Arabidopsis thaliana: one gene and its partners. The protein of the gene in region 1 interacts with the protein of each later gene in a biochemical or structural test. Each region holds a gene or a part of one and is shown in the gene's direction. Other genes may lie near its edges. The genes, in order: LUG, SEU and HD1.

The links.
Region 2: the proteins of LUG (region 1) and SEU form a complex in vitro, tested with the Arabidopsis thaliana proteins (one study listed by BioGRID).
Region 3: the proteins of LUG (region 1) and HD1 form a complex in vitro, tested with the Arabidopsis thaliana proteins (one study listed by BioGRID).

What each region holds. Positions count from the first base shown.
Region 1 is NC_003075.7:15,705,470-15,709,223, forward strand, and holds the start of LUG (transcriptional corepressor LEUNIG), read left to right. Parts: upstream 1-2,011; 5' UTR 2,012-2,393; coding exon 2,394-2,425; intron 2,426-3,170; coding exon 3,171-3,268; intron 3,269-3,383; coding exon 3,384-3,493; intron 3,494-3,754.
Region 2 is NC_003070.9:16,615,398-16,619,151, forward strand, and holds the start of SEU (SEUSS transcriptional co-regulator), read left to right. Parts: upstream 1-1,590; 5' UTR 1,591-2,095; intron 2,096-2,214; 5' UTR 2,215-2,474; coding exon 2,475-3,440; intron 3,441-3,524; coding exon 3,525-3,644; intron 3,645-3,754. UniProt on the Arabidopsis thaliana protein: DNA-binding adapter subunit of the SEU-LUG transcriptional corepressor of the C class floral homeotic gene AGAMOUS during the early stages of floral meristem development.
Region 3 is NC_003075.7:17,897,435-17,901,188, reverse strand, and holds the start of HD1 (histone deacetylase 1), read left to right. Parts: upstream 1-1,679; 5' UTR 1,680-1,885; intron 1,886-2,126; 5' UTR 2,127-2,131; coding exon 2,132-2,659; intron 2,660-2,743; coding exon 2,744-3,184; intron 3,185-3,314; coding exon 3,315-3,545; intron 3,546-3,754. Other genes in the region: AT4G38140 (RING/U-box superfamily protein), read left to right, coding at 884-1,321. UniProt on the Arabidopsis thaliana protein: Responsible for the deacetylation of lysine residues on the N-terminal part of the core histones (H2A, H2B, H3 and H4).

The sequences.
Region 1 (3,754 bases):
AAAAAAAAAAAAAAAAAAAAAAAAAACAATTAGGTCTGCCATTTTGATAATCCTCTAAATAAATGTGGGCTCAATTCCTACCAAAACATGAAATAATTATGGGCTTAATTGTCCGTATGGCCCAGTTACCTTATAACTTCCCCCCCCCCTCCCCATGGCCCAGTTACCTTTCTTATTCAGCTATTTCAGAGTCTTTTTTAAAAAAAATAAAAATAAATTAATTTGAGTCTTTGCGCTGACTTTTGCTTCCTCGTGATTTTTTTTTTTTTTTTTTCCTCATGATTCTTTCTCTTGCGCAAATTCTTCCTCCATTGTTACAGGATCAAATTTGGATGACAATTTTAAAATCGTTGCACATAAACGTCTCATTTCCATTTATGTTTACCATTTTTCTTTTTTTTTAAATCAACAGATAAGAATTGTAGTATGGGTACTGGTAGTGGTGTGAGGTCTACGCATATACTTGAATTGTCTCAAGTCTCAACAATAAAGAGCTCTGGAACCGACATTTTGGTAATGTCAGCAACATTACATCCAATCATATTGTTATATTCATATAAATAGTATTCTCAGCAACACCTATGAAATGTACAACTACAAACTGATTCAAGAATACTCAATAATATAACGACTGTATTCAATATTCCAAATATAATTCAGCTTGTATATTAACATTTTAATAAAAAAAAATTGGACGCCACTACAAAAATAATAATCATCTTTATCACTACAATTTGTTAGAGACTTTCTTGCGTATCAAATTAGATATACGAAAATTTTCAAGGCAAACATGTAAGGTAGGGTAATCACAAATTATTTTCCTACACAATGAATCTAGTGAATATATATTATAAAGATGAGGGTTTTGTTACATGCTCAAAGATCTTGGCGACCGCAAATTGAGAATTTCTTGTTCCAGGTCTGGCAGCTTTCTGTGTGTTTGTAGCCTAGTAGGGGTCAGCTCTTAGAATCGTAGTTGTGATGAAAACAGAATTGTCGTAGTTGTCATGAAAACAGAATTGACTAATTAAAAACTCTTGATAGTTTCAAATTCTTTTAGAACCAACCTCCAAAAATCATGCCGTTCGTTGATTCATTTCGTTACCGAATTTGATTTTATGCAAGGCCTTGGTCTTATGGACCTGAGATTTAATGTTGGGCCTCACATCAAACGACTTTTCAAGATGGATTAGTAAAAACAGAAGCACATATTTTTTGCTTTAAGAACTTAAATTACTCTGTTTTTGTATGGATCTTTAGAAAACCTCAATTGTTTTCCAAAAGTAGCCTAAAAAGACTTTAAGCTCACGAACTTAAGTCACATGGATTTTTGTAAATAATTAAACGATTTAATAAAACTAATGAAATGATAGGAAAATGACCGATATACACAATTGATTTAAACAATTGAATTCGAGTAGTTATGATTTTGATAAAATGAAAAAGGACTGTTTGTTCCCTCTATGATCCTAAAAATGTCATAAAAATGAAAAAGGAAATATGAATTTGATAAGATTTACAGCGAACAAGACAAATTGGAAAAAAAGGAAAGAATGAATATACAGATACGTTAAAATGAAAAAGATATTTACGTCAATCTATTGATTATTAAAAGGTTAATTTTGTCATTAAAAGCAAAAGTGCTTTGCCAAAGGCGTGCTACGTCACGTAAATTATACAACACTATGAGGGCTTTTTGGTAATTTTACAGGAATAAAGCTAACCTCATAATATATCTTCTGCAATTCCGTCCACCCAAAACAACTGACATGGAAACTACTTTTTAAGTTTGATACAATAAAATAAATATACTTATCCGGTCAACATTTTTATTCTGATGAAGTAAAAATATTACTAAAATAACGAAAAACACGTTTTCTCCAAATGAAAAAAACGAAATTTACACTGAAATGTTTTTTTTTGTAAAAAAAAGATGTACTTATTCTTTTAGTACATTAATAAATTAGAATAAAAATTTTAATTGATTAAATCGCTAGTTGCTATTAATCAGAAGAGCTGAGCTACTTCTAATGCTTTTTTACAGAGAGATGCTTTCTTCTTCTTTCTCTCGAACTTTCTCTCTCTAAATATTTTGTTTCGTTTTCTCTCTCTCTCTCTATTTACTTTCGTTCTCTCTATTTTTTTTGTTTGGTTTAGCTTATTTGTGAAGTGTTAAATCTTCTTCAGTTTCTGGGGAAATTAGGTGGGGAGGTGAAAAAGGGGGAAATATAATTGAAATTGGGTTCTCTCTGCTGTGCAATAATAATTTCTGAGAGGATTGTGAAGAAGCGCTTTTATGTAAGAAGATATCTCATTATTAGTTATTTACATGAGAATCTGACATTCTTAACAACTGTCTGTGGGGTTAGTTTTGTCCAAAGAACTATACAGAGATGTCTCAGACCAACTGGGAAGCTGATAAAATGTGAGTTCTTCTTTTTTATGGGTTTTGATTCTTGTAATTGTTCTCCTTCCTACTAAAGGTGTTAACTTTTTTGTTGGGTTTTAGATTCTGAGTGTTTTTAAGTGATTTCTAGGGTTCGGATTTTATAAACGCATTGTTTTTCTCGTTCCCCGGCTACAGTTTGATTTTAGGGTTTGTGTTCAGAGTTAAGTTTCAATATTTTGTTGCTTCTACTTGATCTGGATTCTGCTGATTTTGTGGGTTTGCTTATTACTAACTTATCGCATTTTTTATATTTAGTTTTCTCCTTTATTGGCATTCTTGCTTTGTTTTGCCGTTAGAGGGGGGTTGTGTTACTTTGCGGGTTTCTCTAGTTTCTATTCTCAGAAAGCATTTCTTTGCTAGATTTCTGTGGTTGGGGGGAACTTTTTAGTTAGGTAAATTTTGCATGTTTTGGCCAAAGTTTAGTTCTTTGTGTTGTCAGTCACTGTCAAGGAGCTTGTAATTATTTTTTTGGATATTTGGTTTATCGCATTCTGGTTGACTCTTGTGGCATCATGTTTCTTTTGTTACTGTCCCAATTTCACTCTTCCTTTTTGTATGCAAGTATGTGACTTTAAGCTCCTTCAAGAAAGTTTCCTGATTTTGGTGTTTTTGCTCATAACTGGATGGTTTGTTTATGGGACATTGTTAAGTAGGAAGTTAAGCCCCTGTTTGGCGAGTGCCCTTTGTTGGGGTTTTAAAGACAAATTTTTGAATGTAACAGGTTGGATGTCTATATCCATGATTATCTGGTTAAAAGAGATTTGAAAGCTACAGCTCAGGCTTTCCAAGCTGAAGGAAAAGTGTCATCGGATCCAGTTGGTAAGAAATCACAATCTTCTTAAGCTTTTTGGCTACTATTCTTTATAAAGATTATTTGTTCTGCAGTTGCTCTGTTTCCTAATGAACTTCATTTTCTTATTGCATTGTTTTGTAGCTATTGACGCACCTGGTGGATTTCTGTTTGAGTGGTGGTCTGTCTTCTGGGATATATTTATTGCTAGGACCAATGAGAAGCATTCCGAGGTTGCTGCATCTTACATAGAGGTAGGTCTCTTTTCTTTTTTACCCTGACCACTAGGGATACTAGTGATTATATAACTGCGGAAAGCTGCGATAGTCTCTTTAGTTAGTGATATGGAGTTAGTTAGCACCTTCATTGTGTACAGTTGAATGGTGTTCTCTTTTCCTTTCTGTTTTAAGAGAAGAATTTGGAGTTGAATATGTAAAATCAGAAATGTTTTGTCCAATTAGTATGTTATGGATGATTGACTAAGCTGGAGTATTTCTATTTTGTTTTGGTTAAGT
Region 2 (3,754 bases), on another chromosome or scaffold:
TTAGGGTTTAACGTAAGATTTGAGAGATATGATTTATGCAATGACATCCAAATTTGATAGATATTGAGAAGATATAGAAAAAGCCAATAAAATATTGATAGTGGCTAAAATATTTGATCATTTTCATATAATGATATTTGCATTGTTTAGCTTTAAACTTATACGTGGATAAGGTAATCTAAAGTGTGAGAAATAATAATTTGCTGATAAATATTTTGTAGAGATAATTTGAGTATAGTGTTTGATAGACCAGTTTAAGTCTACAATCTTCTTTCTGTAAATGAGTTGGAAACATATCAAAAAGACGAGTCAGATATACTCAACCATGTTTTAAGGTAGTAAAAATAAATAGATCAAAATATTCAACCATGTTTCCAATGGCAGGAGAAGTTCTTGCAATACCAATATCTTTGGCTATATATGAGTCTGTTTTTTTAACCATTAGTGATTGTAATTTAAATCAATATAAAAGCTATTTGGTTTGTGGTGTTGTTAAACCGGGTGAAGCACTCTCTCAACTCTTTATACATATTTTTTCTTTTTGTTGACTAATAAATTTAACATTTTAACACACAAAAAAATGCTTTTGACTTAAAATTGGTTACATGCATTATTAGGTTCAGAAAAAATGAGGTATTTAAGATTTATATTCAGCAATGGTTCATATATATGCTCTCATGTCTGATTTTTTCTTTTAAATATATTTATGTTAGAAAATGATCTGCAACACATCAGACTAAAAAACTGAATTATTTTTTTTATATATTTTCTAATATTAATAGAAAACGGTTTATTAAACAAATGAATATGCAAATACTCTAAACCGTGAGAATTCCTTGTGGAGTTTCATTTGTATATAATATTTATTTTCTTTGCTTTATAACTTTAAAATACCATCATGATTATTATAGTTCAGCTTCTATGTAATGAAACCATGTAGACAATAAAATAAAGAAAATAAGAAGCAGTTTTTATTATCTAAAAAGCGTAGACAAAAATAATTAAGAAAACTTGAACAAAAGAAAAAAGATAGAAAGTTGAGACGAAAAAGAATATATAAGGGGAATGGGAAAAAAAAATCATCTAAGCAAGGGATGAAGATCAAACTCGAGTTGTTTAATCTCATACATAAATCCGCTTTCAAATTAATTTTATGTTGTCGTTCCATAATTATATTTTTTCTTAAAAATAGTCTTGTTTTCCATTCTCTCTCTCAAACCAAATTTACACATTTAAATAAACTTTAAACAGAAAAACCACTATTAATGTAGTAATATATTAAATATTGATATATTTCTATATCAAATTTAAAACTAAAACCAAAAAAAGAAAGAAAAATTTCTATATCAAATTTAGAACTAAAAACAAATAAAAATAGTGTCATTTCCATTATGTTCTTTTAAACCAAACTTTACATTCTAAGAAAAAACACTATTGATGTGTATATTAAACTTTTGATATCTTTCTAAATCAAACTTTTCTTAAGGTATTTAAAAGTGATAGTATTCTGAATGGAAAAATAACAATTTAACACTAAAACCAATAAAATAAAGAGAAAAATGTTTGTGGCTAACAAAAAAAAAAAATCCAGATTGTGATTACAAAAAAAAAACATTTCTAGGGCATGTCATTGACTTCCTTTGAAGAAGAAGAAGAAGAGAGAGAGAGACTGAAAAAGAAAAAGTAAGAAAGGGAATGAAATAAATCCGATCGAATACAATTTTGACGTCCGCAAGGACACTATTCTCTCTCTTCTCATCTTCTTCTTTCTCTCTTCTCTCTCTCTCTCTACAGCGAAGAACAGGACACAAATTACTCTGTGAAGCTTAAAAAGGTATAATTTTTAATAAAACCCAGAAACTACAATTTCTAGGCGGCAGAGAAAATTTGTTTCTACTTCTTTTTGTTTCTCTTTGTCTTCTCGTCTCTTTATCCCCAAACCCATCAATAAAAAACCCTAAAAGACTTCAAATTTCTTCAAGATTTTGTTCATCGGAAGTTTTCAGATTTTTAGTTGTGTAAAGTCTCTTCCTTTTTGTTCGATTCTCTTTGTTTTGAGTCTTATCAGAGACTTATTCTTCAATTCCACCTCTGGGTAAGTTTCTATAGATTCTCACTAGTAATCTCTGTTTTTTTTCTCAATTAGGGTTTGATCAAAGTTTCGTTTTTTTCTTTCTGGGTTTGTTCTTAACATTATGCTTTTGTTTTGTTAAGGTGGTGAGAGTTGGAAATGGAGTAGATTTGCTTAATTTAGATCTGTAAGTAATCAACAGACAGTGTTGTTTGGTTCTAGAATGTTCGATACGGAATCTCATCACTCAGATTCATCTCTTTCCGTGGTGTTTACGACTCTGAAGCTTATCATTGCTCAGAAAGAATACGTCTTTGCTCCTACACAGAGCTGAGTTTTATAAAGTCGTCAGTTTTGTTTCTTGCTTTCTTTGTTGATTGTGGAGTTGTGAATTAGTAAGAGTATGGTACCATCAGAGCCGCCTAATCCTGTTGGGGGTGGTGAAAATGTTCCGCCTTCGATATTAGGAGGACAAGGAGGAGCTCCTCTTCCTTCTCAACCAGCATTTCCTTCACTTGTCTCTCCGCGTACTCAGTTTGGTAACAATATGAGTATGAGTATGCTTGGGAATGCTCCAAATATATCTTCTCTTCTCAATAATCAGTCTTTTGTAAATGGTATCCCTGGTTCTATGATTTCTATGGATACAAGTGGTGCTGAGTCTGACCCGATGTCTAACGTCGGGTTTAGTGGTTTGTCGTCTTTTAATGCGTCGAGTATGGTGTCTCCGCGCTCATCAGGTCAAGTTCAGGGTCAGCAGTTTTCGAATGTTTCGGCTAACCAGTTGTTGGCTGAGCAACAACGGAATAAGAAAATGGAGACGCAGAGTTTTCAACATGGTCAGCAGCAGTCAATGCAGCAGCAGTTTTCGACAGTGCGTGGTGGTGGATTAGCAGGTGTGGGACCTGTTAAGATGGAGCCTGGTCAGGTTTCGAATGATCAGCAGCATGGTCAAGTACAACAGCAGCAACAGAAAATGTTGAGAAACCTAGGGTCAGTTAAGTTGGAACCGCAGCAAATTCAGGCCATGAGAAATTTGGCCCAAGTGAAAATGGAACCTCAACATTCTGAGCAGTCATTGTTTCTCCAACAACAGCAGAGGCAACAACAGCAACAACAACAACAACAATTTCTTCAAATGCCGGGGCAATCTCCGCAGGCTCAAATGAACATATTTCAGCAGCAGAGACTTATGCAACTTCAACAACAGCAACTCTTGAAATCTATGCCTCAACAGCGTCCTCAATTACCACAGCAGTTCCAACAGCAGAATTTACCTCTAAGGCCACCTCTGAAACCAGTGTATGAACCTGGCATGGGTGCTCAGCGTCTTACACAGTATATGTACAGACAACAACATAGGCCTGAAGTAAAGCTTCTTACCATAAATTTAACTTCTTTCAGCCTATGGCTTTTCTTCATAATTGACATTTGTGCTTGCTATTAAATGCAGGACAATAATATCGAGTTCTGGAGAAAATTTGTAGCTGAGTACTTTGCTCCTAATGCCAAAAAGAGATGGTGCGTCTCTATGTATGGCAGTGGCAGGCAAACAACAGGCGTTTTCCCTCAGGTTGGTTTACTGCTCAATGAACTTATCTTGTTTGTAATACAATTGTAAAGGAGCTTGTCTTTTGCACCTGAGCCAGTTATTCTGGATAAATTACGTACTTGTTTCATGTT
Region 3 (3,754 bases), 2.2 Mb from region 1:
GTATGCCGTCTCAGTAAGATGTTTTCTTGACTTGTAATAACAACCTTGAAAGTGAAAATCAATATGAGTCTTCCTTTTTCTGCTTGGAGTCAGGTATCGAGTTTTTTTTTTTTTCCTATGTCCTTTAAAAATGTGTAGTTGTAGATGTAGTTCCCTGTTTTCATGCATTCTAATATTGATTGCAAGTTCAATGAATAGCGTTGTGTTGGCGGTATAGGGTGTCAAATTATGCTTGACGCTTATCAGTCATTACCAATGATGTATGTGACTGTCTATTGCAAATGTGGCCGACTTCATGAACAAATATGAACAATAGTATCATTGGTTACATACACCAGGCATAAAACTACATCATCCTCCAAAGGCACTGCTGATCTCAGGGACGTGGAGGTCTGTTCTGTAGAAGCTGGCGCTATATTGAATACAAAATGCGTGGAGTCAACATTAAAATAGTTTTTATGATTCACTCGGAGATCTTTACTTGATTTGGTCGGCTGTATTATATTCGTGAACTCGGAAGTCAAGGCCTGTCTTGATGGAAGAATGACTCCTTACTTTTAATATATATATAAATAATACACTGGATATGAATGCCATCTTTTGTTTGTTTACTTTTGGCGTCATGTGATTCTTGTATTGTTTACTATTGTTAAATGCAAGTATCAGGTAGTGCTTAAGATGGAAGCATGTGCATCTCGTATGTTGACCATAACCTCTCCAAGAGTTTTCTTGGAGTTGGGAGAATCGCTGACTTGATTAAAGAAAAACAACAAAAGAATATAATAAGAGATGGGAGGTGGGGTCGGCGCCGTCCCTACTCGATGATATTAGTCTATAAAAGAGAGGGAAGGAATGAGGTAAAGAAGCAGAAAGCTGGAGAAAGATGATTTCAATGTTGTTTCCGCGGTCGCCTTTGTGCACAGCAGCCATAGTATTCTACACATGTGTGTGCATTCCCTTGGGGAGGTTGAAGAAGAATGGTGGAGATGCGGATGCGCATGATGATGACGGTTACAACCTAGTGGGAGTGATGTTTGGGGACAAGGAAAAGGAGGAGGAAATTTGCTGCCCCATATGCCTGGTGGAGTTTGAGGCTGAGGATGCGGTGACCCATCTTCCCAGATGCGCTCATCTCTTCCATATCAATTGCATAGAACCTTGGCTTCTCCGTGGCCACCTCACTTGCCCTCTCTGCAGATCATTTGTATTGGCTCCAACTCCTCCTACACAAAATGTCAATAATGCACACTCCTCTTCCACCTTGTATCTCTCTATCTTCTTCTTTTTCTGTATCTTTCTCCATCTACTTGGATACTTGTAGCCTAGCTTCCTTGTTAACACACCCATTCTTTATTTAACATGTATTTTGTCTTAGTTTCCAAGCACATATTGTCTCCATCTCCTTTTCAATCAAGATTTTGTGGATTACTCAGTTTTATGATATACTGTACTAAACAGAGACAAAAGCAGCACGAGTTTAGTTTTACCAGCCTTGCCTAGTGCCTACTGCTGCTCTAGTGCTCTGTTTCCTAATTGATTTGTTACTCTGCGTAAGACCATTAAGTAAACGGGCTAAAGGCAACTTAATAGGCCTTATTTTTAAAACACATTAAAAGTGGGCCTCATTTTAAACCATAACAGATTAAAAGTGGGCCTTTCCATTATAAACTGAAAGTAGAAAAAGTTGGAAGAGAAGAGTAAGTAGGCTACAGTTTCAGTCAGAGGTGAAAGAAAATCTGAAAGCAAAGCAGAGAGCAGCTCCCTTCCCCTCGGCGAGGAGGAAGGAAGAAGAAAGCCAGAGAGAGAGAGAGAGATCATCGCAGCTTCTCCTCCGACCATTTGACTGCGACTGTGATTACAACACACCGTTGATCCTACGAAAAAGGTCAGTCAGACTCTCTTCCTTGTCTGCGTGATTCCATTTTCCGGCGTCTGTCTAGCCTCGCCGTCTTTTAATATCTTTCACTCGCCTTCCTGTCTCTTCTGCACACTAGATTTGATTTTTTCGTAACTTAAAAAAATGTTGTTGTTGTCATTCAAACGCGTCCATGGCTCAGCTACTCCGCGGCTAGGGTTTAGTTATCATTTTTTAATAATATAATTTTTATGGATCGGCGTGCGTGCAGAGGTAATGGATACTGGCGGCAATTCGCTGGCGTCCGGACCTGATGGTGTGAAGAGGAAAGTTTGTTATTTCTATGACCCTGAGGTCGGCAATTACTACTATGGCCAAGGTCATCCCATGAAGCCCCATCGCATCCGCATGACCCATGCCCTCCTCGCTCACTACGGTCTCCTTCAGCATATGCAGGTTCTCAAGCCCTTCCCTGCCCGCGACCGTGATCTCTGCCGCTTCCACGCCGACGACTATGTCTCTTTTCTCCGCAGCATTACCCCTGAAACCCAGCAAGATCAGATTCGCCAACTTAAGCGCTTCAATGTTGGTGAAGACTGTCCCGTCTTTGACGGCCTTTATTCCTTTTGCCAGACCTATGCTGGAGGATCTGTTGGTGGCTCTGTCAAGCTTAACCACGGCCTCTGCGATATTGCCATCAACTGGGCTGGTGGTCTCCATCACGCTAAGAAGTGCGAGGCCTCTGGCTTCTGTTACGTCAATGATATCGTCTTAGCTATCCTAGAGCTCCTTAAGCAGCATGAGGTTTGTCCACCTGCACCGTTTTGATATATGCTAGGGATGGTTATGTCGTTTCTGAATCTCTAACTCTTCCTCTCTCGTTTGCAGCGTGTTCTTTATGTCGATATTGATATCCACCACGGGGATGGAGTGGAGGAGGCATTTTATGCTACTGACAGGGTTATGACTGTCTCGTTTCATAAATTTGGTGATTACTTTCCCGGTACAGGTCACATTCAGGATATAGGTTATGGTAGCGGAAAGTACTATTCTCTCAATGTACCACTGGATGATGGAATCGATGATGAGAGCTATCATCTGTTATTCAAGCCCATCATGGGGAAAGTTATGGAAATTTTCCGACCAGGGGCTGTGGTATTGCAATGTGGTGCTGATTCATTGTCTGGTGATAGGTTGGGGTGCTTTAATCTTTCAATCAAAGGTCATGCTGAGTGCGTCAAATTTATGAGATCGTTCAATGTTCCCCTACTGCTCTTGGGTGGTGGTGGTTACACTATCCGCAATGTTGCCCGTTGCTGGTGCTACGAGGTACTTTCTTCTGTTCATTTTATGCTGCTCTAGCTTTGCATTGAAATTTCCTTGGTCTCTGTACCAAGGTTAGCCCTCTGTGACGCCTCTCTTTCTTTGAATTTATTACAACAAACTGTTTATATGACAGACTGGAGTTGCACTTGGAGTTGAAGTTGAAGACAAGATGCCGGAGCATGAATATTATGAATACTTTGGTCCAGACTATACACTTCACGTTGCTCCAAGTAACATGGAAAATAAGAATTCTCGTCAGATGCTTGAAGAGATTCGCAATGACCTTCTCCACAATCTCTCTAAGCTTCAGCATGCTCCAAGTGTACCATTTCAGGAAAGACCACCTGATACAGAGACTCCCGAGGTATGCCACTTGAGCAAATCATTTGAAGTGTGTTGGCTCCTTTATTTCTGTTGCCCATTCTTTCTTGCATTTCCTCATGGGTTTTGGTGAGCTTATCTAAGTGTAACTGCAGTTACAATAAGAATTTTCTAATTTAAACAGCTGGGCTGGTAAATAATGTTCGTCCAGTTAGATATGTATAAGTATTCCTTGATTGATGACTCTGGTTG